Linked DNA regions of Arabidopsis thaliana. The protein of the gene in region 1 interacts with the protein of each later gene in a pairwise test. Each region holds a gene or a part of one and is shown on either strand. Other genes may lie near its edges. The genes, in order: AT5G46630 and AT4G11380.

Region 1 (14,545 bases):
AAATTAAGAGTTAAAAGCGAAGAAGAAGAAATTGAAAGCTTCTATACGTGTAAATGATAACATCACTGCAATATTGGAGCTGGCTTATAGTGGTGTAGCTAAGTTATGGGAAAGGGAGCTTTAGCTTAACTCTCCACAGTTGGATGAATAGTGAGCACATTGTATCAGCATAGTTTCTGCACCTAAAAACTATGTACATACTTATAGAATACCTCTCCATTAAAAAAAAAAAAAAAAAAGAAAAAAGAAAAAAAAGAGGTATTCTAGAATACTCTCTTCCTGTTGTATACACATGTATAACTTTTTGTTTATTCAATAATATAACTTTTTTTTTATTGTATAACATGATTGAATCAATATGTTCATACGTTGAAATTTGTTGTTCATTGTCAGTTCTCTTTGACCCAGCAGATGATTCTATTAATATCCTTTTTTTTGGTCAAACTGATTCTATTCTTATTTATCATCAGATATTATTGGTTTAGCCAAACAATAAGATACATTGGACCGCCTGATAATGGAATGTGTAAAATCAATGAACTATCAAGTCTTAATTAATGGGTCTTTTTTAGAAGAAGCAATGAAAGTCTTGGATTTTGAGGAGAGATGGGTTAGTCTATAATGAAATGTGTAAAATCAGATTATAAGAATTATGGAGGAATATAGCCTTGTCTCAGGTCAGAGAGTAAATTATCGAAAGTCAAGTATCACTTTTGGCAAGAAAATTCCAGAGACCAGAAAAACTGAAATCAAAAGCAAGCTGGGCATCCATCAAGAAGGTGGGCAAGGTGTGTACCTAGGGCTACCTGAATCTTTCAAAGGGTCTAAGGTGGAGACTTTGAAGTATATTCGTGAAAGACTTCACTCCATGATTGCGGGTTGGCAGAATAACTTCTTGTCTCCAGGAGGGAAAGAAGTACTTCTCAAGGCTGTAGCCATGGCCCTACCCACATACACTATGACGTGCTTTAAGCTGCCAACCACAATCTGCCAGCAGTTATCCTCGGTAATGGCTGAATTTTGGTGGAAAAATAAACGCGACTCAAAAGGCATGCCTTGGAAAGCGCGGGAACATCTGAGCAAGCCAAAGTCAGAAGGAGGAATACGCTTCAAAGACATTGAAGCTTTCAACATTGCTTTGCTCGGGAAACAACTTTGGAGAATGGTATCTAGAAAAGACTCTCTAATGGCTAGAGTTTACAAGAGCAGGTACTTTAGTAAAACAGATCCACTAAATGCTCCCCTAGGTTCTAGACCATCTTTTGCTTGGAAAAGTATCCATGCAGCACAAGAGCTCTTAAGGCAAGGAACCCGAGCTATAATTGACAACGGTGCGTCCACTGAGATTTGGCGACACCAATGGATAGAGTCAAAACCAGCAAAGGTTGTGAATGTAGTGAAAAGAGTTCTACCATCCCATGCTAGGTCCGTTTCTTCTCTCCAATATGTTAGAGATCTATTGGATGAAAGTGGGAGGGAGTGGAGAAGGGACTTACTCTCTGCATTATTCCCTGAGGATATTACAAAACAAATCATTCAACTACGGCCAGGGGGTAGGCATACATTGGATAGAGTTGCTTGGGACTACTCTAGGGATGGACATTACTCTGTGAAATCGGGTTATTGGGTCCTAATGGAGGTGGTGAATCGTAGAACGCAGACTCAACATGTCCTTCAACCCAGCCTCAACCCGCTTTATGAGCAGATTTGGAAAGCTAAAGTCTCACCTAAGGTACATCACTTTTTATGGAGATGTTTGAGTAACATTATCTCTGTAGCGGGCAATCTATATCATCGACACCTTGTCAGGGATGGTTCGTGTCCTCGCTGCCCATCACAGCTCGAGTCTGTCAACCACCTTCTTTTCAAATGTTCTTTCGGCAGACTTGTATGGGCTATATCCAAAATTCCAGCTCCACCAGAGCGTGAGTGGTCAGATTCCTTCTACCAAAACTTGCACAAATTATTGAACATAACTCAGTGTCATCCATGGTTGGGTGATGATGGACTGGTAGCTCCATGGATCCTGTGGAGATTGTGGAAGAATCGCAATGACCTTGTTTTCAAAGGGAAACAATTTGATGCACCTGATGTAATTCGGCGGGCAATAGAGGATGAAGAGGAGTGGAGGCTGAGTATGCAGCGGAGTTTCATACCGAAGCACATAGAGAAAACTGAGCCACCTGCGGTCAAATGGAAGCAACCCCCACATGGTTGGGTTAAGTGCAACTCAGATGGAACTTGGACTGCAGACCGAAGCACCAGTAGCATTGGCTGGGTGCTTAGAAACTCCGAAAAGAATGTGCTTTGGATAGGTGTTCGGGCTATTCCAAGAGTCCAATCCGCTTTGGTTGCGGAGGCTGAAGCCTTGCGTTGGGCGGTGCTGTCACTTTCTCGCTTCAGTTACCGAAAGGTAATTTTTGAATCTGATTCCCAACAGTTGGTATCCCTCCTTGTTGATAATGGGGACAGACCTGCACTAGATCTGATTATACAAGATATCAAGCACCTGCTTCAGCATTTTGAGGAAACAAAATTCGTGTTCACGAATCGTGGAGGCAATGGAGTGGCAGATAGGATAGCAAAGGAATCTCTTTCTCTCGAGAATTATGATTCTCAGTTGTATTCTATAATGCCAAATTAGGTTAAATCCTTTGTGGAGTATGATAAGATGTAAAACTTGATTGGTTAATGATAGTTGATGTTGAGCAAAAAAAAAAAAAAAATAATAAGATACATTGGACTGTAATATCGTTTTATTTTGTATAAAGGTTAAAGGAAGAAGTTGTTTGTCAGTTTATTTAAGAAATTGTTGAACACATAAGTTCCTTTTTTTAAGTTTAGTTTTTTTTTTTCAAAATTAATAGTATAAATAATGAATTAATCAGAACTCAATAATTACTTGTTGATCAAAATGTTTGGAATTTCAACAACATCTCGGATAACTGATGACATGCATAGTCCCCATATGTGATGCGTTTCTCTAATTTTCTAAAAACATTTTGGTTTAATAGGAGTTAGACTTCACTTATTTTTGCTTTCTAAAACTCTTTATCTTGCAAATAAATTAATCAATCAATCTAACCAAATCACCTGACATCACCAATAAATATGAACGTATTAACTACAATAACTCGACAAACTGATATATCTTGTAAAAATGAAAGTTGGTTGCAGTCGTTACTCTCAGCTCTATGGTCTAAACATTGGCTGTGGTAACACATAGGCCAGAGTACGAGTAGGATCGACTGCACTTGATGATGATGATGATGAGCTTGTTGTTGATATGCATGATTCCCACATCTGAGGTACTCTGAAGTACCTTTCTCTTTTAATCGCATGGCTCGTTATATCAACACGAGGCAGCTTTATCAACAGTAGATCTCGGGAGGAGCTTATTAGCTTGCTAAACCTTCACACGTGTCATCATCTCTTTAAATCACATCCAACAGCTGAGCTCTTTCTAACTTTCTAAGGGATATAAAAACATTTTAAAATAATTTGGATTAAAGAACTACGGTATATTGAATTTTTTTAAAAATAATTACAAAATTTGTGAAAACAAATAATATTTTAATGTGGAATATATATATTGTTCTAGTAAGGAATCTCAGACTTTTATCTCTAATTCAAATCAACTCACAGAGAATTAACCCCCAAAAAAAAAAAAAAAAAATTAAAATGACCCTAATATCTAGATCTCTCTATATGTTATCTAATAAACCCCCAACAAAAAAAAAAAAAGCTACAAAAAACCATGAAGCTTGAATCTTCTTAAGATTTGCCTAAACAACAACAAGAAATCAAACCATAACCGTAACCAAAACGGAAACAAATTAATTTCCGCTTCATTTTATTGACCATGATTAGACCAAAGATGTTGGTACATTTGCATCTGATGAGGATGAAGAGGTTGTTGTTGTTGTTGTTGTTGAGCTCCATATATCCCATTATTATTGTCACGGTGCATTGCAGGAGAACCGCTCTCATTCTCTTCTGATGACTCGCTCGATGGTCCTTGAGAGACTGATCCAAAGTTCAACATGTTAGCCGGCGCTGAAGCCGGTTCAGGATTCTGCCCCCGAGCAATGTTAACACTACTTTGTTTCGGTTTCTTTGCTTCTGCAACAAAGCTTCCCACTATCACCTATATCACATTAGGACGCATATGAACATAAAAGAAACCGTCTTCTTAACCCGAACACAATATTAAGGATTCTGTAACATGAGTTCATATTCTGTACCTGGACTTGTGTTGCAGCTACTAGATTACCAACTACACTGCCACCTACGATGCCGCCATCAGGTCCAGCCAAAGCCACACTCAAGTTACCACTTCTGTTGGTGGAACCATTTACCTCATAATTCAAGACTGAGCCTGAGAGAGTAATGATCTCAAATCGTCCCTGAAAAAGCACACACATACAAATCTAAACACTTAAGACAGAAATACTAAAACTAAAGACATCAAAAGAACATAATTTTAAACCTCATAAGTAACGATTCCACTAGAATGAGAAGCTTGACGAAGCATCACTCTAGAAACTGCACCACTTGCAGAGAGAATACAAATTGTTCTTGACCCTTGATCCGAAAAAGCCATCACCTTTGACGCTATGTCCTGAATATAGTAAGTAAATTTAACATAACAACATCATTTAAAACTCATTCCTCCATCAAAATTCACTAAACCAATACATTTATTTCAAACATTTCTAACTTACCAATCCTGAAACATGAAACAAAACACATTTTCAGATAACTAAGACAGAACAACAACTTTTTACCTCTCCTGTGTTCACTTCAATGACATGAGGTGTAAACCCAACTCCTGAAGTTCCTCCTACTCACACACACACACACACACATAAACAAAACAGAACAAACCCATCAAATCAAATTGCATGTAATCTAAAACAAAACGTGTTAAGATTCAAACTTTAGAGTACTTGCTTATACCTAAAGCATCAAGCTGTTTCTTACTAGAACCAGGAGGCCTTCCTCTGTTACGTTTAACAGGTGGATCAACAGAGTTTCCATTTCCACCACTATCTCCAACACCACCCTCACCGTAAGAATTAGAAGCTGCAGAGAGAAGAGGAGACGTAGGAGCTAAACCTAAAGCAATGCTACCATCAGGAGTATACTTTCTCGGCCTTCCTCGCTTCTTCTTCACTTGCAGTTGCTGATTCTGATCATCGATCCCGAATCGCATCGGTTGAGAAGAAGGTGATCCATCACCAAATCCAAGAGATTCAAGAGTCTTCTGATCCATTTGTTGTTGTTGCTGCTGATGAAACGTTTGAGATTGTTGTTGATTGCCAAAAGGAAGACGAGGGTGTTGAATCGGTTGAGATGTGGAAGTGGGAACCATTAATGGTGAAGCGGCGGCGTTAGGGTTACGGTAATGAGACATTAACATTCCCGGTGGTGGTTGAAGCTGGTTATGTGACGGTGGGATGTCTCTGGAATCCATTAGAGCAGAGAGAGAGAAGGAAGGAAGAAGAAATCAAACTCAAAGATTGTTTCTTTCGGCTTAATTCTCGTAAAGGATGAAACTTTCTGTTTTGTGAATTCCGAGAAAATAGAGAAAGCGTGTGAGCTAACAACTCTCTCTCTCTCTCTCTCGCTTCTCGCTTCTCGCACACATACAGAGAGAGTCTCGAGGAGAGACTAGTGGGAGAGATGAAGTGTGGCGGAAAATGTAAATTTAATAGGAAGAAAAAAAATGAAATCATCTTTTTATTTATAGGATTTTTAGGAGATTTTATTTGAGTTTGTTTTGTTAATTTTATCTGAATTGATTTGGTATTTACTTACGTGAGGTTTAAGCATTCGAGAAAATATTTTTGAATCTTTAGTAGATTGTAGTTGGTTTGTTTTCATTATCATCCAAATTATAGCAGAAATATTTGTGGTCATCCGTTTTTATTAAGAGTTTATAAAAATAAAAATACTTCAGTTTGGAGATGAGAAAAAAGAGTATTTGCATTGGATATATTATAAAAAATAACACAATAACTTGTGAATGATTAATAACGAATTCTGAAGTTAAAAATCCTTAAACTTCAGAATTCGTTATTGATATTTGTGGAAGGTATCCATGTCGTCGGTTGTTGCATTCTCGTCAAACATTATAGGGAACTTTGAAAAGTAACGTGATGCAAAAACAAGACACCCAGCTTGTGGATTTCAGAATACCGACGAGGTGATCCCAATCGATGGAGAAGCAGTTCAATAGAATCATGTTTGTTGTCTTAGACCATATTTGAGTTGCATGTGAGTAGCAAAGTATCCATGATATCTGGTGTCTTGTGGGCAGAGAGCCACATGACACAGTCCAAAGAACCACCATGACCACATTTGCCATAAGCGAAGTTATAGAAATTCGATCATGCATAACCAACCACGAGTGAAAGACGTACTTGGGTGTAGCTTTGATAGTCTATTACTTTTACAATTTCCCGTTTGTTTCTGAAGAATTAGTAGACTTACAAAAGATTTTAACGATCTATGTTATGTGTAAAAACCTTCGAAGTTCGAACTATTCTCAAGTAAAATTTGTTTTCATTAACATATTACACCCGATTCTACTACTAAAAAGAATCCGACTGCTTTCACAAATACTCTATCACGTTCGATTACACCAGAATTAATCTAAACTATATCTCGTACAATTTCACAAACAGAGAAAGAAAGAAAAACAGAATTCAATACCAAATTAAGACATAAGAAATCATATTAACACAGATATCTCTAATCGACAAAACAAACATAAAACAAGGTATAAAACATATTTAACTCTTTTGTTTTTGTTTTGCATAAGGAACAAAAAACTAGAAGCCATGAAACTTTTAAGTCTGATGTCACTGAACCTGAACTGTGTTTAATGTTCAGCATCTGATCTCGTAAGATCCCGCTTTCGTTATGTATCGAACCCACTCGACCGTGTTGTAACCGCTCTTCTCCCAAACCTGCCAATCGTTCCGGATAGTCAGGTCCAAAAAAGTAGTATAGCAATCAATTTTTGAAAGACCAGAGACAGATTAACCAAAACGCAAATCACATAAAAGATTTGAACGGATTTAATGACACAATGGCTTAGAGATTCTGCTACTTAGCATTGCATTTTTTGGAAGGATGGTACTTTCAAAAGCATAGATAACAATGCGTACCTTGAGAAAACGAACTCGCAGACCAGATGCTGTGAACATTGGCACCTAGAAAAGAACAAAGCTGAGACGGTTAATAATTGCTTTAAGCAAATCTGGTTCTATTTAACAGTGCCTAAAAGAGACAAAGACTGACCTGAAATTCCATTTGGATCGGTGGCCTTGTCCAAGATTTCTTCTCTCCCATTGTTGAGATCAACTCAATTTCTGCACTTAGCGTGGACTCTGTTTGCCCTGGGAATTTTCTTATCCTAAAGAGTAAAAGAGAGAAAGATGCCGAATGATTGATAAAACACCAACAAAAGAATTATAGAGATGAATATGAGGGGAAATTATATAAACTCACTTCCAAACCAAGCAATCGATTGATGGATTGTATTTAGCGCGACCAGTTGTCACTTGGAAATTGGTCTTGGCTGTTTGTTTTGGCACTGGAATTTTAACCACGACCCCAAGGGCAAACATTTTAGCACCAAACACACTTTTGACCTGAACAGACAAAACACGGGAAGGGATTGTAAGAGAGCAAAGATCAAGCCAATTTTTTTGTATCCTGTAATCCTTGAGAAAAGTTATGTACCTTGACATTTACTTCCATACGTGTACGACCAAGTTCTTTGATTGTTGGTAATACACGGAAAGGCAGATTTACACCCTCTGTTATTCGATACCTGAGACATCATAAAGTTAATACACATTTGGTACCAGAACAATTTGCAACAGTGGACATTCGAAAACTTACTTCATCAGTTCAAACTCTCCATCCGGTGGTACAAAACTAACAGTCTTCTCGGAGTTGAATCTGGTCAGGTTCACACACTGGTGAAATGTGACATCATCAAGCTCAATGGTTTTACCACTGCACAAAACGAGAGTCAGTTAGCACAAAGAAAAGTCAGTGGCTACTGATGTTCAATGTATTAACAACGTATACCTCTTAGCTGGGCGAGATTTCATTTCTGATTCCTTCTCAAGACCAATTTTATCATTCAACCCCAACTTCAAATCAGGCATTCCCGAAAGGAAACATTTCATTAAAACCTTCCCCGTCACATCACACCGAAGAACATTGCCTAACCGTTTCCATAAAATGCAAAACCAGTCATACACAGCAAATCAACAAGAAAGACAACTTCAAAAAACTTCATAAAAGGCAATTATTTACCTTTAGAGGACATCAGAAGGTTTACACTTTCCACAATATCCAGAAACACCTGCGTTTGAGAGAATGCAAAATATCATCACTACCGCACAACCTAGCCGATCTACATACACACAGAAAGAAACTCAACACTCACCTCATTCTTTTTGTAAGCAAGGCCCTCTCTTCTCCAACCAACAGCACCTGTAACTTGTAATGTTGCATTTGGAACAGGTTTGTCTTTTGGCTGTAATGAAAAGAAGCTTATGAATGCAAACATATCTAGTGAAGAAGCAACATAATCTCTATTTATTGCGGGAAATACTGCTTAACTTCGAAGAACCACACACCAACACAATTACAAAATCTGTTGTATACACAAACAAATAGATGCCTTTACCTTCGATGAAAATGGTGACCGTACACCTTCCTGAGTGATATAAAGTTTTAAAATTTCAGGTGAGAGATTTTGTGGATAGCCAAAGTCCATAATCTCTGCAATTCAATACAAAATATCATTCATTGGTGTTACCACAAAATAGAATAACATATAACGACTAATGCAACTTTACAAGTGATAAGAAAGTGATTTGATCATGACCCTATCAGGCTTACTTACCATCCAACAATTCATAAATCAGAACAAAGTTATTTCTAATAGCGTCTTCATCAAAAGCTCCACCAAAGTATGATTTGAACAAAGCTACAGCCTGAAAATGTGAATCAAAAGCAGTATGTGTATAGAATCAATCTGACTCTCTTGAAATTTGAACAAGAATCAAAACAATTGTGGAATATTAAAATGAAACACAAAAACAAGTTTACCTCAACAACAAATTTGAATCCACAAGCAACATTAGCATTGCTACTGACAACAATGACGATGTAGACATTGCTGATTCGCATATAAACAAAGGAGCAGCCACCAATCTGACGCACAGGACAATTCCCTAACTCTTTCGTCTGCATTATATGCGTACGAAATGCATCCACCATGTTTCCCCTAAGTATCAAAATCAAATCAAAATTTTAAAATCTCAAATCTCACAGCTAAAATCCTACAAAGTACGACTACTTAGAAGCGATAAGAACAAAACATGGAGCTGAAAATGAAGCCGAATTCAAAAAATTAAAGAGATCGACGGTGAAGAAAAGGAGAAGCTCTCTTACCCGACGTCATCTCGGTAGGTGCGATTTATGAGTACATCGCCACGGAGATTCAGAAAATAGATGGCGGAAGCAGCCACCGGCATCTTCGATCTGAGATTCGAAACGCAGATCGGATAATTAGACGATCTGGTTACAGGAGATTTGAGATTTGAGGTTCGACGAGATCTCGACGACGGAGCAAAGGAAGAAGACGACGACGAAGAAGTTGAACAACTGAAATGCGATATTTTTTTAATTTCTTTTTTATCAAAAAATAGAAACAAAATTGAATTCAGTCGTCATTTTGGAATGGGCCGGTCTTATTCGATTCTGGGCCTGTGCGTCTCAATTATGGGCCTGTAGTACATTATATCCTTCATCATTTTTAATTGTTGTTTACATATGAAGAATGGTTAGGTAACAAACAATGTATAGAAGTTCTTAATTTTCAATTATTAACACTAGGTGATCACCTGCGCTACGCCGCGGTATTTTCGGATTTTTTTCGTATTGTTTAATTTAAATATAATTTTTATTTATCTAATTATTCACTTATACAATAAACAATTCCTTTTAATTTTAAAAATATTTTTTCTAACAACATTCTCAACAATGCATCATACACATAATTCATAAATAACGTTTGTATTAAACCAACTTAAGAGAGGGTAGTTTTGGATTCTAGAAACCTAAGAATTTGATGATGGAGCTCCTTACGTATTCTTCAACCTCAATGATTTATTGTATAAATATAAATTTAAGAGAATATAATATCAATTTAAGAAAATAACTTACTCAAATCATTAAATAATCCACGACTATTATATACTCATACTTTGAGTTTGGATTACAAAAAAAAATCTTCGAGTATGAGAAAACTATTAAATGGTTTTATTGAAAAATCATGTAATATTAAAATAAATTTAGTAATACTATAATTAAATATGTAAAATTAAATAATAAATATATCATTAACTTATAAATTAGAAGTTGAAGAGCTTACATTAATTACTTAATAGACACATGGCAAATGCTAAAATGATGATGTGTCAATCATTTGGAGAGAGTTAGCCAACTTTCATATATATGATTAACACGAAACTTTTCGAATTTTTTTTGTTCAATTCTCTCTGATGTCAGTGATGTGTAAAAGTAAAACTGTAAATGATCGCAATTTTTTTTTTTGTTCACTCACGAGAGAAAAAAAAAATGTGGAATATTTATTTAGTATATTAATAGAAACCGCGCCGTTAATGATAAAAAGAAGATCTTGCTCGATCCGTCTTTGATCCAAAAAAAAATTCATCTTTCTATAATTTGTTGCAGTGCATAAGAAGATTAACACAGTGTTCACGAGAGAGAGAGATTAAAGACAGAGATTTCTGGGTTTTAACAGTAGGAAATGAATATTGTTGGATTAAGAAGCGATCGGAGAAAGTAGCAAAAATCGGGAGAGGAAAGGGATATTCGAAAACCCTAATTTTGGAAGATCATTCATTTGAGAGAAAAGCTGTTAAATTTGAGGGCTTTAGATCGAATTTGATATCTGGGGTTAATGGGTTTTTTGAAGAAGTTAACGGGTATACTTGGTTTTGGTCATAACGATGGTGGTGGTGGTCATGGAGCTGTGAGAGATGAAGATGGTGATGGTGGAGATAACAACACTGGAACTGTTTCTGGTGATGGAGATAAACGTCGGGAAGAGAATCAGACGAGATTTCGTGAAACTGGACCAAGGAAAGGTTTTGGTGTACCGGTTCAAGTTGCTGTTGAACGGTCGAATCCTGGTCCTATTCTTCAGCCTTGTGCTGCTTTAGACGGTGGTGTTCAGGTCAGTTTTCCTTTTTGACTGATGATATTGGTTAGTGAAACTCTAGGGATTGATCAAATTCATGAGAATATGTGAATTACTTGTTGCTAGCTAGATAAAGAGTTATGGTTAAGTCTTACGAAGATCTGTAATGTGGTATCACATAGTGCAGTTTCATGCTAGTTCTGTAGCTGGATTGTGTATTCATACCTTTGGTTTGGATCACACTAAGTTGGATAATAAATTGGTTTGTGAGTTTGCGAAGATTCAGTCGTCTCTGTGGCCTACATTCATTTCATGTTCTGTGCGGGTGCCTTGCTTTTTTTTCACTTTAATATGGCCTCAAGATTGGCTTCGATATGCTTGTGTTTCATAAAAAGTACTTTATATGCTTCAGTAGATGACTTTACATTCGTCATTTCTTTATGGTTTTTCCAAATTCTCTGAATGATCTTATAGATTTTGATGTCTTTGTAATTGTAGTTCATTGTCTTTTCTTACTCTCTGTTCATTCATCTTTGCTCGTAAAGTTAATGTATAGTCCTTAAGATACTGCCATGTCAGGGATATGTGGTTTAGCTTGTTGTAAGATTAGTTGCGGCAGAAGAAAGTTCCTCGAAACAAGTATTAATCATAAGCCACCCATGCTAAAATAAAGACCTTAAAGAATCTTAATTAGTTATATTGGTAGAGAAAGACGATAATAAGCAAGAAGATTTATATTGCCAAGATTATTCAGTTATCTTTCTGCGATTATGTGTATCTGGTTCATTGAGTTCTTCTTGATGGCATTGACTCAAATTAGAGTCTGAGCCGAGAATTTTACTAGCGAACCTCTTATTTGGATCAGGGACTACGTTGGTACTCGATGCGGCTTAAGATTGATGAAGACGGAGATGTTGCAGATGAGTTCTTAGAAGACCAAAACTGCAAGACTTTACCAAGAAAGTGCAAAACAAAAGCTGCAAAAGTGAGAGGTTTAGTGATATCTTCTGATGGGAAACTTCAGCCATTAATGCATTGAACAATGAAAACCAAGGAGAAAGATTTGCTGAATAGTGTGTGATTGAATCAGAGAAAGGTTAGAACTTGTGTTTCATTAATTTCGATATCAATCCATTAGATTCTTGAGAACTTATAATGTTATTTAACTGTGAATTTAGTTTCTGAAAATAGACAGTGATTCTCTTTGGGATTATCTAAACACATTTGTGCAATTGTGTATTTCTACTACTACTACCAAGTTCTCTGTTTTGCACACATATGAATCCTTTTCTTATACAAGACCTCCAATTTTCGCTCGATATGATGTTTTTAGATTCTTGTTATAAATTGAATAGCAAGGAATGATTATTAATATATGATTCATATTGCATCTGAATCTAAGCAGTTTAAAGAAGTAAATAATATTTGAAAATCGTAACTGGTTATGAAACTTATAAAGATTTTGGCTATATTGTTTGCATAAAGGTAACAGAGTATATATTTGTATGCAATGAAAAAAAATGAAATAGAAAATAACATTTTCTCAAAAAGAAAGTTTAAAGTATTGATTTTCTGATAAGCTTACCTAGTTGAAAAGTATGTTAGAGAAAGTTCAAATACTATGAATCTAATTTATTTTTCTTTCTTACAAACAATGAATCTAATTGGTGATGATTTATTTTGGATTTTTAATATATAAACATACATCAACTAAAATAATAACTAAAATAATAACTACAAGACTTGTAGAAAAATACTAATATCTACAAGAATATAATTTGCCGAACGGCGTGAAAAAAAAAATTCGTATATTCTTGTAATATTTTTGTTAGTCAATCGCTAATTAACAACAGTATCTATGTGATTGAAATTAAAATGTTAATAAAATAGTTTAAAGCCAAGGACTTAGGAAAAATAAAATATCTACGATGAAACTATAACATTAGTGGGCTTAGTTTTATATTAGGTCTGTCATAATCGCCGTCATTACTCATTAAATATACATTTATTATTGGATGATTACCTTATATTATACTAGTAATTGTATGATTATTACGTCGATGAGTCATAGGTAGATCAATTAAATTAAATATTTTGATATTATTTTCTTTCTTTTTCGGTCTTCTGCTGTCACCAGGTTGTGGACAAATAGTAATATTTCAACCTAACACGACAAATTATAAGTCTTAGTCGTGTTGATAACAAATTCTCACCCACGTAATCAAATTTATTTTCACTTGTGTATAATAAAGCTTTTCAAATGTGTTAGGTTAAAAAAGGACAACGAAATTTGAAACACATCCAACTCATTTTCATTTGTCTGATACTTGAAACCACTTATAAATTTTGGTTTTATATGACTCTAGCATCATCACAATTATCTTGCCTACATTTAGATGTAGATTTGTTAATTTACTCTGTCAGAGAAAAAAAAACATAATGCAGCAAAATAAGATATCTGATCAAGATCTGCGCACAACAATGTATTTTGATTTATTTTGATGAATGAATTGAGTGACACATGCATGAATATGAATGGTGAATCTAAAACTTATTCGTTTTTTAATTTAACAAGTTCAATATGGAACGTCATTAATAGTATTTTTTAATGAACGGCCACAAATTAGTTTTAATATATCTTGACTTTTTGTTTTCCCCAATTTATGTAGCAAAAAAGAGAAAATAAAAATTTCTTTAACCACCATCATATTATTGCAAGTCATGTGAAAACCAGTCTCTCGTCACTTGTACATTATCAAGAAAATAGCTATTAAAATCCATTTGTTCTCTTTATGTTATGAATTATTGAGTTCACAAAAAAAAATAAAAAAAATAAATACAAAATGTAACTTTGTAAATATATTTATTTTTACTATCTAAATTACTATTGCTATGTTTTCAGAAAAAATATTGTGATAACTAAATAAATTATACACACATACACTGATACACATAGACAATATATAGACAGACACACAATTAAAACACACGTATTGAATTATAATTTGCTTCGTCGGGCTAACTAGTCTCGTGTCTATGCGTTGCACATAGTATACGTATATGCATACAATTATATATAGATAGTACACTAACACCTAAACTCTCTTTCATATTCAATAATTCTAATTTTGAACCCAAAAAGACAAAAAACAATGTCGGACAGGGTCCATGAAAGGAGCATGGGAATGGAGGAAGAAGGCTCTACTAAAAACATGAAGACAAAGGTTCTTGAACTTCCAACAAAGATCAAGAAGATTCTAAAGAATATATGGAAAGTTGGAAAAGATG
Region 2 (16,816 bases), on another chromosome or scaffold:
GAATTATTACCTTTAATTTATATTTTATTTAATAAGATATATATAGTTTATTTACTTTTTAAAATTTATTTTCTATAAAATATATATGTATAATTTCCTTATAATTTTTATTCTAAATAAATAAAAGGAAATTTTTGTTTGACATGCACATGTCAAATTCTGAGACTGTTAAAGTTGACACGTGTCATGATCTGGTGAATTACTAACTTTTCGAAAACCGTACTTTATATAATAAAATGATATCAATGTAAGAGTTATTTAGTTTAGGACTATATATATATAAATTTTAAAGAAAATTTTTCATTAACCTTTCTCCTTTCTTTATTTAACTTTTCTTTGTACTTAATAAAACCCTAATAAACTATCTTTTTCTATCATATTAAACTGTTATAGGGACAATCCACTTGCTTAAGATAATTAACTCACATGTTTAAGTAGGACTTGACTACGAGTTCGATTCTTTGGTTTAATTCGGTTCAGTTGAATTATTTTTGGTTTGATTCAGATACTTTGAATGAAAATCGACAAATAATCAAACTTCACTTGATATTAGTTTGATTCTGAACACTTAACCCAACATATCAAAAATAAACCAAAATAATCAAATATCCAAATAAAATTGACAAAAATGTATTGAGCCAGAATAAACAAAATCTAATAGACCAAAAAATAAATTGTGTTCGAAATTAGATCAAAATGTATTGGGCTTAGTTGTAGGTTTGTAGAAGGCTAACCAATTTTTTTTGGCTTTGTATGGATACTCTCGTACTCATGGATATCAGATAATAACCAAACTGAAGTGACTGATATCCAATCATTCAATGGGTAAATGTGACTAAGACCATGTACTAAGATAATACATTTAGAGTATCAAGAGATATAAATAATTTTTTAATAGATCAGACAAGGCCTGATCCTGTATCAGTGCAATGATTCTTTTGATATCCAGTATCAGTTGATATGGAGTCTCATGATTCGTATGTAAAACTCGTTTTTTCCTGAAAGCAAAAAAAAAAAAAAATTCCATTATTCTCTCCGATAGTCTTTCTACTATTTTAGCTAACTAACTATATTTTTCGCGAGTGAGTAATTTTGCAGGCTTTTCGTGATTATGCGACATAATTTTGCAGTAATTTTGTAATCTTATGTTTTTATATATTTATTTTTTGATTTTGCAAATAATTTTTTTTTTAATGATATCAATATCGGTCTCACCACTAGAAACATATTTATTACCAGTATCATAAAAAATCTCAAACAATAAATAAACATTAAAAATACTAAAAAAATGATACATATAAAGTATCAACTATGTTCATGCTCTAAGAGCATGTCAATCAGTGTTTCTAATGGGTTACTAATTTGAAATCCTAAAGAATAAAAGTCCAAAATTAAAGAAAAACCCAACCAAATTATTAGGAGCGGTCCTAATTTTAGTTTTTTTTATAAGTGTTTAGAAACGCAGACGTAGCTGCTTCTGATTGGGTGAAAATTTAGACAAAAAAAATCTGCTTCGTTCCTCTTCTCCTATCCGACTCTATTCTTTTGTTACTCTGACAATGAAATCAGGCGAAACTCGTTGCTATGAAATACATTGAGAGAGGTCGTAAGGTTTGATCTTTTCCTCTTTAGTTTCTCAGAAAAAGTTTTGAACTTTCTTTGATTTGTTAGAAATTAGGTAAAAAGTCTGCAACTTTTGGGATGATTGAGGTTTAAGAGTTGAGATTTTGATGGTATTGCAGATTGATGAGAATGTGGCGAGAGAAATTATCAATCATAGATCCCTTAGGCATCTTAATATCATTCGATTCAAGGAGGTTTGTTGCTTTGTTGCATAATCTTTTAGTACTTTAATTGAGATTAAGAAACTTAAAAAACAGAGTAAATTTGTTGGTGGTTCTAACTCCAACTCATCTTGCAATTGAAATGGAGTATGCTTCTAGAGGAGAGCTCTTTGAAAGAATCTGTAATGCTAGTAGATTCAGTGAAGCTGAGGTTTGATAAATGCTTTCTAACTTAGTTCTTATTGGATTTTTTGACAAATTTTTGATTATATATTTTTCCATCTTGCTATTTTTCTCAAGCTAGATATTTCTTTCAGCAGCTGATTTGTGGCGTGGACTACTGTCATTCACTGGTATTTTTATTTACATAACTTAAGCAAATCTCCATGAGTGTGAAAGGAGAGTGACAAAATCAAGAGACAAGAGATAAAGATAAGGTTTTGTCTTGATAGTAGCTCAAGTGTTTCTCAGACACTTATACAAAGAGAAAACATTTCAGACCTAAGGGGACAAAAAGGAAAAAGACCAAAAGGGGTTACAAACAGTACATAAAGCAACATTAAGCTTAAGAGCAATTAATTGATGTGCTCTAAATAAGATAAGTAGCAATATCTTCAACACCCTTCCTCAAGTTGGAGCATGCATATCGAAAATGCCCAACTTGCCAAGAAAGAAACGAAGCTCCCTTGCGCCCAATGCCTTGGTAAAGATGTCTGCTAGTTGTTGTTGAGAAGGCACGTGAGAAGTGGCAATGAGACCGGAGAGGATAGCATCGCGAATATAGTGACAGTCCACCTCAATATGCTTCGTGCATTCATGTTGAACCGGATTAGCACTTAGAGCAATAGCAAATCGGCTGTCGGAGAAGATTGTCATTGGTTGAGGATGGGAGATACCAAGATCATGTAGCAAACGTTTGAGCCAAGTCAGTTCTTGAGTAAGAAAAGCCATCGCACGATACTCCGCCTCAGCTGAAGACCAATTCACAGTAGGCTGCTTCTTTGTTTTCCATGAGATAGGACTATCACCAAGCTGCACGAAATAACCAGTAAGAGAGCGACGGGTAAGAGGACAAGCTGCCCAATCACTATCGCACCAACCATGGAGCTTTAAAGAGGATGTGCTAGAGAGCAGAATCCCTTGACCATGAGTGGATTTTAAGAAACGAACCACCCTGATGGCAGCGTCCCAGTGATCCTGGCGTGGATGTTGCATAAACTGAGCCAGAGTGTGAACCGAATATGATAGCTCAGGACGGGTAACAGCCAAGTATATAAGTCTCCCGACTAAGCGACGATACCTTTTAGGATTGGGAAGTAAAACAGACTTGGATAAGGACAGTTTGTGGTTCTGTTCCATCGGAAAAGAAGAAGGTCTGGCGCCTAACAGACCCATTTCTGATATAATATCGAGGACATATTTCCTCTGAGACAAGTAGAAACCATCAGCATTCCTTGCCACTTCAATTCCCAGAAAATATTTCAGCAGACCCAAATCCTTCATATGAAAGCAAGATTCCAAATAAACTTTGAAACGTTCAACAGCGATGGAGCAACTGCCTGGGATGATCAAGTCATCAACATAGATGAGAACGTGAACACACGTCCCATTGTTGTTGTAGCTGAAAAGAGAGTAGTCCGATAGAGACTGTGTGAAACCATATTGAATCAAAGCCGTGGAGAGTTTCGAGAACCAACATCGCGGAGCCTGCTTCAGACCATAGAGAGATTTATGTAGACGACATACCTTAGTCGGATCATCAGAATGAAAGCCCTGAGGCAACTTCATGTATACCTCCTCCGTCAAATCTCCGTGTAAGAAAGCATTATGTACATCCATTTGATGTACATGCCAGTCACGGGCCGCAGCTACTCCAAGAAACACTCGGACCGTACTCATCTTAGCAACATGAGCGAAAGTCTCATCATAGTCAACACCCTCTTGCTGACGATTTCCCAAAACCACCAAACGCGCTTTGTATCTCTCTATTGTCCCATCAGAACGATACTTAATCTTGTAGATCCATTTGTTGCCAATTGCCCGCTTCCCAGGGGGTAAATCCACGATGGAGAATGTTTCATTGGCTTGGAGAGAGGTGATTTCATCAGACATTGCATCACACCAAACTTTTTCAATCACAACTCTATTATACGTTGTCGGTTCCACACCAGCAGTTACAGCCGCAAGAAAAGCTTTATGAGCCGATGAGAAACGGCTACTGTCAATATAGTGCTCGATTGGATAAAGAGACGATGAATCCGCAACTACATCAGGTTCCACGGTAACAGTATTTGTAACAAAGTGTTTTAGAGTTACCGGTTGCTGTTTTCGGCGATGACCACGGCCAAGCGGTTCAGCCTCTGGGGGATTTGGCTCAGAGTTCACCGGTGTTAGCGTTGGTTCCATTGGAAGTGAAACTGTGGATTCTATTGGCTGTTGCGACTCTTCTGGTGTTGTGTCGAGAGAGACACCAACTAGGGTTGAAAGAGAATCATCTGCGTGGGCCTGAGTGGGAGATAAAGTTGCTGGGCCTTCTGAAGAAACAATAGTCGGCCCATTTGGTACAAGAGAAGGAATTAAACTTGTTGTGTTTAATTCCTGGCCCATACGGCCCAAATCGTGATCATCTTCTCCACGAGGGACTTCTGCAAAAGGAAACTCTGTTTCCTTAAAGATGACATCTCGAGAAATCATGAACATTTGATCATCGAGATCAAACAAACGCCATCCCTTTTGTCCATGAGGATACCCAACGAAAACACATCTTTTCGTTCGAGAGGCAAATTTGTCGCCTTTATGATTTTGATTGTGGGCATAACACAAAGATCCAAAAACACGAAGATGAGCATAATTCGGCGCCTTCTTATGCAGCAGCTCATAAGGAGATTTTCCTTGAAGAAGCATCGATGGAGTTCGATTTATCAGGTATGCAGCAGACAAAACACAGTCCCCCCCAAAATTCAATTGGCAAATGCGATTGAAACCGCAATGATCTAGCAATATTCAAGATGTGTCGGTGCTTTCGTTCCATCCGTCCATTCTGATGCGGAGTCCCAACACAAGAAGTTTCATGATGAATCCCGCGTTATTCAAAGTAATCCCGCATACACATAAATTCTGTTCCATTATCACTTCTCACAGTTTTGACACGGACATTGAATTGACATTCAACAAGAGCAAGAAAACTTTTCAAATGTTTCTGCGTCTCACTCTTTTCAACCATCAAATACAGCCACACTCCCCTCGAGAAATATTCCACTATGGTTAGGAAATAACGAGCACCAGAGTGAGAAGGAGTCCTATACGGTCCCCAGACATCACAATGTATAAGACCAAAAGCTTCCATGCTTCTATTATCACTTAGAGAAAAAGTTTCACGAGTTTGTTTAGCTCTCATACATATGTCGCAGACACTGTCCAAAAAATCTCTACTACTAGACAAAAAATCAGTAGGAATCAAGCTAATTGCTTTTTATGATGCGTGTCCCAAACGTTTGTGCCATAGATCATATGAACCTTTGACACTTGTGCTCACAACTGCTGCCAACTCCATACTTTTAAACAAAAAACTTCCATTCTCTCTTTTACCAACTCCAGTCACCGTCCTCGTAATGCGGTCCTGTATCACAAGAAAGTGATCAGCAAGCTGCACAACACAGTAATTCTCATCAATCATCTGTCCAACAGAGATCAAATCTGAAGTCAATTCCTTGACATAGAAAACGGATTTCAGAACCAAACTGGAACCAAGGCGCACTGTTCCTTCACTCACAGCAACTCGCTTATTCCCATCAGCCAATATAATCAAAACCGGAGAGATCTTGCGCATATCAGTCAACAGATGTAACTTTCCAGTCATATGGTGAGCTGCACCTATATCTAGGATCCAAGAAGAGAAATTAGAACACGTACCCGTTAGAGTCTCATGTCCTTGTTCGTTGGGTTTGATGTTGGCTTCATCACTTTTTCCAGCGTTCAAGAGCTTGAGTACACCACGCCACTGCTCATCTGTAAGACCATTCACCGCATCTCGATCTCTATCAGTGATAACTCGATTAGCCCGTTCCACAGTGGTTAAGCCAGTTGTGACAGCATTCACATAAGAGGTTGGAGTGCGATTTTGTCCTCCATTAAAGCCTAGACCGGGTTTGCCTCTGCCTCGACCAGATTGTCCTCGCGGTCTATCGCCCCACCACTCTGGGTATCCAATGATCACAAAGCAGTTCTCCGGCGAGTGACCGCCACGATTGCAGTGCTTACAAACGTTCTTGTTGGGGAACTTTGCAGAACTAGGATCAATCTGTGGACGAGACTGAGTAGCAAAAGCAGTGACATCTAGCTTTTCTTCCTTAGAGTATCTATTGCTCAACATGTCCTCTTCTTGTCTCACAATGTTGTAGACTTCTTCGAGTCCAGGAAGAGGAACACGTGATGTTAAGCTAGACCGAATTGTATGAAATTGAGTTTCATCAAGTCCATACAGAAATTGTTGAACCATGTCATCTTCTCTACCTTTCTCCTGCTCAGCTTCAAGATTACACACACATCTTCCACATTTGCAGGTTCGAAGAGGACGATAGTTGTTGATATTATCCCAAATCTTGTTGAGTTTTCCATAATATCCTTCAACAGTCATACCCTCTTGTTTACAAGTAGCAAGATCTGCCTTCATCTTCTGATTCTTTGGACCACTAGAAACAGAGAAGCGTTTACGAGTGTGTTCCCAAAGATCTCTAGCCACGTCACGGTGGGAGATATTCGTCAAGAGCGCCGGGTCAATCGTCATCTTCATCCAAGACACTAGCAAAGCATTAATCGTTAACCAGTCCTCGAGGTCCAGAGATTCTGACGGCGGTTGTGGAATGGAGCCGTCAAGAAAACCAAACTTCTTCCGTGAGCGCAGTGCTGTTTTGAAGCCACATGCCCATTCATCATAATTAGTCGACTTCAAGATCGGGTGGGAGATCACAGCTCCAGAGTTATCAGCGACCGTTAAGTCATACGGCGAGATCGTTCGCCGGACTTCAGTTACAAGAGGAATTACCGGAGGAGCAGCCATTACTCCAAAAGAAACTCAAACTTTATCGATTTCAAATGAAAAACCCCAGCTTTAGCTCTGATACCATGACAAAATCAAGAGACAAGAGATAAAGATAAGGTTTTGTCTTGATAGCAGCTTAAGTGTTTCTCAGACACTTATACAAAGAGAAAGCGTTTCAGACCTAAAGGGACAAGAAGGGAAAAGACCAAAAGGGGTTACAAACAGTACATAAAGCAACATTAAGCTTAAGAGCAACTAATTGATGTGCTCTAAATAAGATAAGTAGCAATATCTTCAACAGAGAGATCTTTGCTTCGTTTTGTTAATCTTTTTGTTGGGTTTGATTTGGTCTTTGGTTAGTTGCAGAGTGGGAATAAGCTCCGCGTGTTTTGGTGTCAACTTGTTGTCCTAGTTTTTAGTTTTGTTTCAGTTAGTTCCTGCAATTTCTCTTTCACGTATTTGTAAGAAGACTGAGTCTTCATCTTTAGGCTATTTAAAGCCAAACAACTATGATAATAAAACATCGAAGCATTCAGTTTTAGTCTCTTTGTTCTCTCAGATCAACACTTTTGTATGTTTATGTAGCAAATATGTCATAGAGATTTGAAGATTGAGAAAACACTGCTTGATGGTAGTCTTGCACCGCTTTTGAAAATCTGTGATTACTTGGCTTTGATCTCATAGGTCATTCATTCATTAGTCTCTTTTTCTTCTTTTGTTTCAGTTTTGGTTCCCATTATTACTTGGCTTTGATCTCATAAGTTTTTTTTTTAAGGAAACCCATTTAAGGATTCTACCTTTGGAGAAGAGAATTTATAAAAACTTGACAAAAACTCTAACCTTCAAAATTATTAATATTTGTTATTAAGAAATTTAAAGGATTCCTTATAAAAAACCCACCAATGGATTTGCTTTAAGATCCATTAAGATACTTATTGGAACCTGGAACCAAATCAAAACTCTTTTTTTTTTTTTTGGTTCGGTTCGGTTCAGTTCCAGTTTTATGGCAAAACCTAAGTTTAGGGGTAAATTGGAAAATATTCAAAAGTTTTAGCCAAATATCAAAGTTTTTACTAATTATCAAAAGACACACTCGAGAAATTCATAAATGGGCTAACTTTTATCAGAGAGCCCACTAAACAATCGGCCCGTTAGCCAAGAAAATCGTCACCGGCGTCTTCCATTCCAACATTTCTCCGTCATCGTCTCTCTCTCTCTTTTTTTTTTGTGTGTGCAAAACGTCTCTCTCTCTGTCTCATAAAATCTCAGAGAAGAAACATCGTCGGGTCAGGTCGAAGAAAGGAGAGAAATGAGTGGTCACGATTCGAAATACTTCTCCACGACGAAGAAGGGAGAGATCCCTGAGCTCAAGGAAGAGCTTAATTCCCAGTATAAGGTTTTTTTTTTCTTCTTAATCTTACTCTTGTCTCATTCCATGTGGATCTGTGATCCGCCATTATTACATTCACGATCTCTCGGTCGATGATCCTTCTCTCCTTGTAATTTAGTTATCCTTATACAAATTTTGGTAGATCTGTGTAGTTCTGGATTTTGAATTTTGAATTGAAATTGGTTTCGTGATTTTGTGGGAAGTGCGATGATTCCGTTCATTTTTCAGTAACTGATTGGGATATAGGTTAGAATTGGAGAGGAATTGGTAGGTTTTTGAGAATGGCTAATGTGGAGATGTGTGTGCAATCTCGTAGTAACTTTAGTGAAGCTTAGGTTGGTGAATCAGAACTTGTTCGATCTGGATCAGTGGATTTGGATGAAGAGTTTATGTTAATGATTTAAGAAGGAATGGTTCTTTTCTGCTTTGGCTACAGTTTTGTTAACCCTTGTTGTTTATTTACTGTTGCATAGGATAAGAGAAAAGATGCAGTTAAGAAGGTTATTGCGGCGATGACTGTTGGAAAGGATGTTTCATCACTTTTCACTGATGTAGTCAATTGTATGCAAACGGAAAATTTGGAGTTGAAGAAGCTTGTTTACTTGTATCTCATAAATTATGCGAAAAGCCAGCCAGATCTTGCTATTCTTGCAGTAAATACCTTTGTAAAGGTAACACTCAAGCAACTCAAACAAAACCACGTGGCATTCCTTTGTTCTGTTCTGAACCTGAAGGGGAAAGGAACTGATAAACTGATCATTACAAAATCATTGGTTTGTATTCTGCAGGATTCACAGGATCCAAATCCGCTGATTCGTGCTTTGGCTGTGCGGACAATGGGCTGCATTCGTGTTGATAAAATCACAGAATATCTATGTGATCCTCTTCAAAAGTGCCTAAAGGTTTGAGTTTCTAATGTTACATCTTCATTGGAATCTGATATCAAACATCTTTATTGCCCTTAAGAACCTGTTTCATCTTGACTAGTCCATCTTTTCACTATCCTGTGTATATTTTTTGTGTTTAGGATGATGACCCATATGTCAGGAAGACTGCGGCTATTTGCGTCGCTAAGCTTTTCGACATAAATGCTGAATTAGTTGAGGACAGAGGTTTCCTTGAAGCCTTGAAGGATTTGATATCAGATAACAATCCAATGGTTGTTGCCAATGCTGTAGCAGCCCTTGCGGAGATTCAAGAGAACAGTAGTAGCCCCATCTTTGAGATCAATAGTACCACTCTTACAAAGCTCCTTACTGCTCTAAATGAATGCACTGAGTAAGTCCTCTCCATTTCCGTAGTTTCACTGCATTCTGTTCGATTTTGAGTATTTATGGCCCCATTGTCCAGTCAGGGTTTAGGGGATGTTGATGGTTGTGAAATAGCTTGTTTGATGTGGTATGGCCTCTGTTTGGATATCATTCCGTTGTCTTTGTAACTATTTTCAAACAGCAGTTTAGAATTTTTCGTCATTGATGGTTTTATCTGTAGATAATGACCCAGTATATAAACTTTGGGGAAGAGAAGCATAAAATGAGTAATGGATAAGCTTTTGGTAGCTTCATTTTTAGTACTGACCATGATCATCGCAGGTGGGGTCAAGTTTTTATACTAGATGCTTTATCGAAGTATAAAGCAGCTGATCCCCGTGAGGCTGAAAATATTGTTGAGAGAGTAACACCAAGGTTGCAACATGCCAACTGCGCTGTTGTTCTTTCAGCTGTTAAGGTGAGCGACTTTCATTGATTGTTATCCTCTCTACTTCTAGTTGGTAGCTCGTCAAACTTGATTGTAAAACATCAGGCATCATCAAATGCCTTTGCATATTTTCCTATTGCGTTCTCACTTCTGTTTCATATTTGGTAATTGCCTGACAGATGATCCTTCAACAAATGGAACTTATTACTAGTACAGACGTGATTAGAAATCTTTGTAAGAAGATGGCTCCACCCCTTGTTACATTGCTTTCTGCCGAACCTGAGATACAATATGTTGCACTTCGTAACATTAATCTTATTGTGCAAAAACGACCCACTATCCTTGCCCATGAAATTAAGGTAGCATGACCTGTGTCTCATAGTTCCTCAGAATAAACAACTGATGTATCCGTGCATTTATTGATTATGTTGAAAGTGATATTCTTTTTGTTTTAGGTTTTCTTCTGCAAGTATAACGACCCAATTTATGTTAAGATGGAGAAGTTGGAGATTATGATTAAACTTGCCTCTGACAGAAACATAGACCAGGTATCCTCACTGAGCTCTACCATCTGCTGTGTGTCTTGATTATTATTGGTGCATATCTTTATGATTTTTGAAAATTGCTACTCTAGGTTCTTCTGGAATTCAAAGAGTATGCCACAGAAGTAGACGTTGATTTTGTTAGAAAGGCTGTTCGTGCGATAGGCCGATGTGCTATCAAACTAGAGAGAGCAGCTGAACGGTGCATCAGTGTTTTGCTCGAGTTGATCAAGATTAAAGTGAATTATGTTGTCCAGGAGGCCATTATTGTCATCAAAGATATCTTCAGAAGATATCCAAACACGTAAGTTGACATTTCTCAATCACTGTTGAAATGGCATCTTAAAACTCTTCTTTGATTTTGGTTATGCTATTCAAATATTTCATACAGGTATGAGTCCATAATTGCAACACTCTGTGAGAGTTTAGACACTTTGGATGAACCAGAAGCTAAGGTATTGAACTTTTTTGATTTTGGTTTGGAAAATTGAAATTTACCATCTTCATTTAATCTTAAATCACTGAATTCGGTATCTTTTGGTAACTTGAAAGGCATCTATGATATGGATCATTGGTGAATATGCTGAAAGAATTGACAATGCCGATGAGCTTCTTGAAAGCTTTCTGGAGAATTTTCCTGAGGAACCAGCACAGGTCCAGTTGCAGCTCCTAACTGCTACTGTTAAGCTATTCCTGAAGAAGCCAACTGAAGGCCCTCAACAAATGATTCAGGTTCGGCTTTTTCCTTGCTCACCACTGTTTTTATGATCGATTCATGAGCATGTATGTAATGACAGGCATGTTTTCCGTTATGCTTGATGTTTTCAGGTTGTCTTGAATAATGCTACTGTGGAGACGGATAATCCTGATCTCAGAGATCGTGCATACATATACTGGCGTCTTCTATCCACTGATCCTGAGGTGTGTGTTACCTTGATTTCTTATAGCTTTCTAGTAATCAACCAGTAGAGAATGAATATATTCAGGATTGGTTATTCAAGCAACAAGCAATTTTTATCAGTTGAGCTTTCTCTTGAGATGTATTTGGCTGAACTCATCATTTCTCTTGATTAGGCTGCCAAGGATGTTGTCTTAGCTGAAAAGCCCGTGATTTCTGACGACTCAAACCAGCTAGACCCATCACTTCTTGATGAGCTTCTTACAAATATTTCGACCTTGTCCTCTGTGTACCACAAACCCCCAGAGGCTTTTGTTACCCGCTTGAAAACGACAGTTCAGAAAACAGAAGACGAGGACTTTGCGGAAGGAAGCGAAGCAGGATACTCATCTAGTAATCCGGTTGATAGTGCAGCTTCTCCTCCAGGTAATATCCCACAGCCTTCCGGAAGACAACCAGCACCAGCGGTCCCAGCTCCTGTACCTGATCTGCTAGGTGACCTGATGGGATTGGATAATGCCGCTATTGTCCCGGTTGATGATCCCATAACTCAATCTGGGTGAGTTATGTCTTGATTAATGAAACTTTCTATTGTTGGGACTAGTTTATTACGTTAGGTCAATTTCGGTTGCCTAGTTCATACTGAAACTCATCAAATCTTATGAACTTGATCGTAGTCCTCCTCTGCCCGTTGTCGTCCCAGCTTCAAGTGGTCAAGGTCTGCAGATAAGCGCTCAATTATCCCGAAAAGATGGACAAGTATTTTACAGTATGCTCTTCGAGAACAACTCGCAGTCGGTTCTTGATGGTTTCATGATTCAGTTCAACAAAAACACATTCGGCCTTGCAGCTGCTGGATCTCTTCAGGTAACTCTATCTGAATCTAATTAACGTCTGAAACTCAGGTCTGAATCATTGAAACCAATATCCATGTCTGTACTGTTTCAGATTCCGCCTTTGCATCCCGCAACATCCGCCAGGACAATGCTACCTATGGTCTTGTTCCAAAACATGTCTGCTGGGCCTCCAAGCTCGCTCTTACAAGTCGCTGTCAAAAACAACCAGCAGCCCGTGTGGTACTTCACCGATAAGATTATACTTCATGCTCTTTTCGGTGAAGACGGTAGAATGGAACGTGGAACCTTCCTTGAGGTAACATACTTCAAAACTTGAGCTGTTCATATCGGTTCTGGTTTAGGAAAATAGTGACGACTGTGAAACCAAATCGGTTAGAGATAAATTTATACGGTTTGGGTTTTCATTTGGATATATCTTTATGTTTTCAAAGATTTTAAGTTTTTGTTTGCTTTTTAATCAGACATGGAGGTCGTTACCGGACTCAAATGAAGTCCTGAAAGAATTCCCCGGGATCACCATCACGAGCGTCGAATCAACTATCGAATTGCTCACAGCATTCAACATGTTCTTTATAGCAAAGCGCAAGAACGGGAACCAAGACGTGATCTACTTATCAGCCAAAGATCCACGAGATGTACCGTTTTTGATCGAGCTCACTGCAATGGTGGGCCAACCAGGTCTCAAATGCGCAGTGAAAACTCCCACTCCCGAGATTGCGCCTCTCTTCTTCGAAGCTTTGGAGCTTCTCTTCAAGGCTTGATGATTAACGTTGTTATCAAAAGGCTAATAAGACCAAGACCTGAAAGGTTTCAGAGATTCTTTCTTGTTTCGTTATATCCCACCTTTTTTCTTCTTCTGAGTTTAGTGTATGTAATAAATCCCATGTTTGTGTTACTTCCGGTTGCACCCTTTTAGTTTGGTATTTGTAATGCTCACTATTTTCTTATAATTCTTGTATCGGAACCACATTTTTTTTCTTTCGATATTTAATCCGGGAAATGCTGGTTTCTGAACTAATAAGGAAGATCAAACACCATCAAAGGACCAGATCACCATGGAAAATCAGTGATCTAGCTACATTGGAGCCGTTGATGATGCTAGTGATGGACAATGCCAAAACTTTCAAACATTTCTTTTAGGTGATAGGTACACTTGGGGCTAGAGACCAAAGACGGTTATTCTTGTATTTTAAAATCAGAATTGCTATCAGAAGCATGTGTTTTGTCATGCAGTGTGCAATTTGGAGTTTCTTTCAGGATATGCTAGCCACACTAAGTTTGCATCAGAGTGAAACATAGTAGTATCCTTTTAGAAAGTAAGGCATCGGCTCTTAAGTTAAACACAATTTGGATAGACATATGTGGACATGCAAAAGTTATCGTGGGAGGAGTGTTGGGAAACATATCTCCACCTATATCGTTTGGTCCAGGTACTATAGTTTTGAAGAAGATTATAAGAACAAAGATAAAAGAATAACTCTCTTTTCTTAACTCCATTCACTAATTGTACTAGAATGACAAGCAAAGCAAGTATAAAAAGAGGTTTCCACTATTAAAAAAAAAGAGATATTTTTTTTCACCTTCACTTGTAAAAGTGAACAGAGATTTGAGCATCATTGTATTGAGAAAGGAGTTGCATCAATCATAGACAAAATCAAAACAGAGGTAAGACAGCTAATGCAAAAGCTGATACTTGCTTAAGCTGTTAGACCAACTGTGACACTGGAATTAATCTACTGTGAACGTGGAAGTGGACACTGATGAACATCAACTAGAGTGATTCGACATGAAGGAACGAATGCAAAATTCAAAACTTAACCAACACATACACGTAATTAATTAGCTAATGTAAAAACTAGTACATCGTTAACATGTTACAACAATTGTACACCAGCTACTGGTCTCCGTGCAATGAGGACACTTGATGGTATTAGACTCCATTTGATGGCTGTATTGGGCTAAAATACAATACAAGGTCATCGAAGTGCTTTTTTTTTTTTGGAATGAATAAGTCATTGAAGTGATAGCTTGAGCCTTGATGATTTTTTTTTTTTCCATTTTTTTCGTCAACTAAGGATTCTTTATCTTCATAACTAACCGTGACCTCAAAGCCACTAACATACTCGTTGATGCTAATAATTAAGACAACAAAACTGAGACTTTGATTAGTGGGGCATATATAAATTGTAAATGGTACTTTCTTACATGTATAACCATTTATTTATTAGGGGTCCTGTCTTTTTGTTCTTATCAACGGCTAGTGACTTTTAAAATTGTTTTTTTCATGATAGTTTTAGTTATTTTGTGTGCTTAATTTAGTTATAGAACTATTATAAAAACTAATATATATAATTGTTATTGACCAAGTTATGTAAGAGCATCTTTAAGCGTAAACATTGACTTTTAATTAGAGAGAGATATAGACTTGAAAGGAGCATACCGTTGAGATCTCAGATTCTTCTTCTTCTTCTTCTTCTTCTTCTTCTTCTTCTTCTTCTTCTTCTTCTTCTTCTTCTTCTTCTCAATCTTGTAGTAGGCGACCATGGAATCAGAGGGAGTGTCACTACCGTTGATCCACAAGCATGTCATGATGCCTTCTCATGATCAGCGGAAAGGTGATTGTTGTGGACGCTCAGAATTTACCAGTGGTGGATATTACTGCGAAATCTGTGACTTCTTTGTTCATAGGAAATGTGTTGACGAGTCCTCTGAATATATTAAACACACATCTCACTCTGTTCACACTCTTAAGCTTCAATGTAAACCACACCATATATGTAATTTATGTGGCAAGAGCATCAAGGATCTATTCTATCGTTGTGAGATATGTGACTTCGATGTGGATCTATACTGTGCAAAGTACCCACCACCAGAGGTTATTGATATTTCCGAGACGCATCACCACAAGCTCACCCTTTTCAAGAAGCGGACCTTGGTCGATTGTGGTGCCAGCAAATGTGGGGAGGTTATGTATGGGTTTCCTTACAAATGCCATGAATGTAATTTAGCCTTCCATGTGGATTGCGTATGGAATTCGCCAGACACAAAAAACCTGTTAGAGGTAAACCACTCTCACCACCCTTTACACCCTCTTAAGCTCCACATAGGTCAACCACCAGACTATTCTGATGGTAAATGTCGTCTTTGCGCACAAAAGATTAAAGAGAAATTGTTTTATCATTGTTCCGCTTGTAACTTCAGCTTGGATATGGATTGTCTTTTAAACCCACCACCACAGTCTATTTTGGATTTGAAAGCTCATGCTCACCAACTCATCTTTCGCCCAAGACTTGATTCTTTTACATGTAATGCTTGTGGGTTAAATGGAGATCGAAGCCCTTACATATGTGTTCAATGTGATTTCATGATACATCAAGAGTGTTTTTCCCTTCCACGCCTCATAAACATCAATCGGCATGATCATCGTGTTGCTCGCACATCTGTTCTTGGTGTTGTGAATTCTGTATGTGGAGTTTGTCACCAAAAGGTGGATTGGACCTGGGGCGGGTATTCTTGCCAGAGGTGTCCTCAATATGTCATTCATTCGAAATGTGCTACTAGAAATGATGTGTGGAACGGGAAAGAACTCGAAGGAGTCCCTGAAGAGATAGAAGATATAAAGCCATACGTGGTAATATATGGCAACATAATACAACATTTCAGCCACAAAGAGCACTACCTTAGATTCCATGTTAATGGCTTTTTCCGGGATGGAAACAAGCGGTGCAGTGCTTGCACCTACCCCATTGGTCTCCAATCCTTCTATGAATGTATTGATTGTGATTTTATGCTTCACCAAAACTGTGCTGAATTTCCTCGAAAGAAATGGCATATGCTACACAATGATCGACTTACATTAGTTACAAGCGTAGCCGAATTCTTTTGGTGTATAGCTTGTAGAAGAATGTCCAATGGTTTCAAGTACCAGTGTGGGTATGGGGTGTTAGATGTTCTGTGCTGTTCAGTTTCGGAGCCGTTTGTCCATCCAAGCCACCCTGATCATCCTTTGTATTACATTCGACAAGTGAAATATAGACAATGCTATGGTTGCAACGGTCGAACGTATAATGTGCTGACGTGCATTGAAAGTTGTTGTGGATTTGTCTTATGCTTCTGTTGTGCCACATTACCACAAGTGGTAATGCATAGAGTAGACGATCATCCTCTCTCACTATGCTATGGCGAAAAGGCAAGTGGCAAATACTGGTGTGACATTTGTGAGAAAGAATTGAATCCAAGTACATGGTTCTACACATCTAAAGATCACCGAGCTAGTTTGCATACAAAGTGCGTGTTAGGAGACTTTGCAGGGCTCATGCCAAGAAGCACAATAAAGTATGGCAGCAGATCATATGAGGTGGTGCTCAATAATAGTGTATCTCGTCCATTTTGCAGGGTGTGTGAGTCGCATTGCATGTACCCTATCAGCTTGAAGATGCTTGGAACCTCTGATCCATATATTTGCTCTTTAAACTGCCAAAAGCGTCTCAACTCTCTGGACAACTTGACGAAAAAGGTGATGATAGATCGTTAAACTTTCATTTTAGAATACAATTATTCTTCAATAAAAGGTTTATTTCACTATGAGTTGCTCTCCTTAATGTAT

What was found.
Region 2: the proteins of AT5G46630 (region 1) and AT4G11380 interact in a protein complementation assay, tested with the Arabidopsis thaliana proteins (one study listed by BioGRID).

What each region holds. Positions count from the first base shown.
Region 1 is NC_003076.8:18,915,601-18,930,145, reverse strand, and holds AT5G46630 (Clathrin adaptor complexes medium subunit family protein), read right to left. Parts: upstream 9,709-14,545; 5' UTR 9,567-9,708; coding exon 9,484-9,566; intron 9,317-9,483; coding exon 9,139-9,316; intron 9,024-9,138; coding exon 8,933-9,023; intron 8,809-8,932; coding exon 8,714-8,808; intron 8,561-8,713; coding exon 8,471-8,560; intron 8,387-8,470; coding exon 8,338-8,386; intron 8,246-8,337; coding exon 8,107-8,245; intron 8,032-8,106; coding exon 7,915-8,031; intron 7,844-7,914; coding exon 7,753-7,843; intron 7,662-7,752; coding exon 7,519-7,661; intron 7,424-7,518; coding exon 7,309-7,423; intron 7,221-7,308; coding exon 7,086-7,220; 3' UTR 6,975-7,085; coding exon of another isoform or gene 6,894-6,974; 3' UTR 6,701-6,893; downstream 1-6,700. Other genes in the region: AT5G46640 (AT hook motif DNA-binding family protein), read right to left, coding at 3,854-4,147, 4,245-4,406, 4,490-4,621, 4,788-4,843, 4,960-5,476; AT5G46620 (uncharacterized protein), read left to right, coding at 11,018-11,293, 12,123-12,296; AT5G46610 (aluminum activated malate transporter family protein), read left to right, coding at 14,410-14,545. UniProt on the Arabidopsis thaliana protein: Subunit of the adaptor protein complex 2 (AP-2). Adaptor protein complexes function in protein transport via transport vesicles in different membrane traffic pathways.
Region 2 is NC_003075.7:6,912,474-6,929,289, forward strand, and holds AT4G11380 (Adaptin family protein), read left to right. Parts: upstream 1-8,015; 5' UTR 8,016-8,134; coding exon 8,135-8,221; intron 8,222-8,418; coding exon 8,419-8,461; intron 8,462-8,531; coding exon 8,532-8,554; intron 8,555-8,688; coding exon 8,689-8,886; intron 8,887-9,003; coding exon 9,004-9,117; intron 9,118-9,242; coding exon 9,243-9,493; intron 9,494-9,807; coding exon 9,808-9,943; intron 9,944-10,092; coding exon 10,093-10,272; intron 10,273-10,368; coding exon 10,369-10,461; intron 10,462-10,547; coding exon 10,548-10,759; intron 10,760-10,846; coding exon 10,847-10,910; intron 10,911-11,007; coding exon 11,008-11,187; intron 11,188-11,283; coding exon 11,284-11,376; intron 11,377-11,529; coding exon 11,530-11,912; intron 11,913-12,030; coding exon 12,031-12,220; intron 12,221-12,301; coding exon 12,302-12,505; intron 12,506-12,671; coding exon 12,672-12,971; 3' UTR 12,972-13,103; downstream 13,104-16,816. Other genes in the region: AT4G11373 (Serine/Threonine kinase catalytic domain protein), read left to right, coding at 1,585-1,611, 1,743-1,817, 1,894-1,995, 2,105-2,137, 7,186-7,290; AT4G11385 (uncharacterized protein), read right to left, coding at 14,614-14,804, 14,854-14,962, 15,074-15,205; AT4G11390 (Cysteine/Histidine-rich C1 domain family protein), read left to right, coding at 15,419-16,726.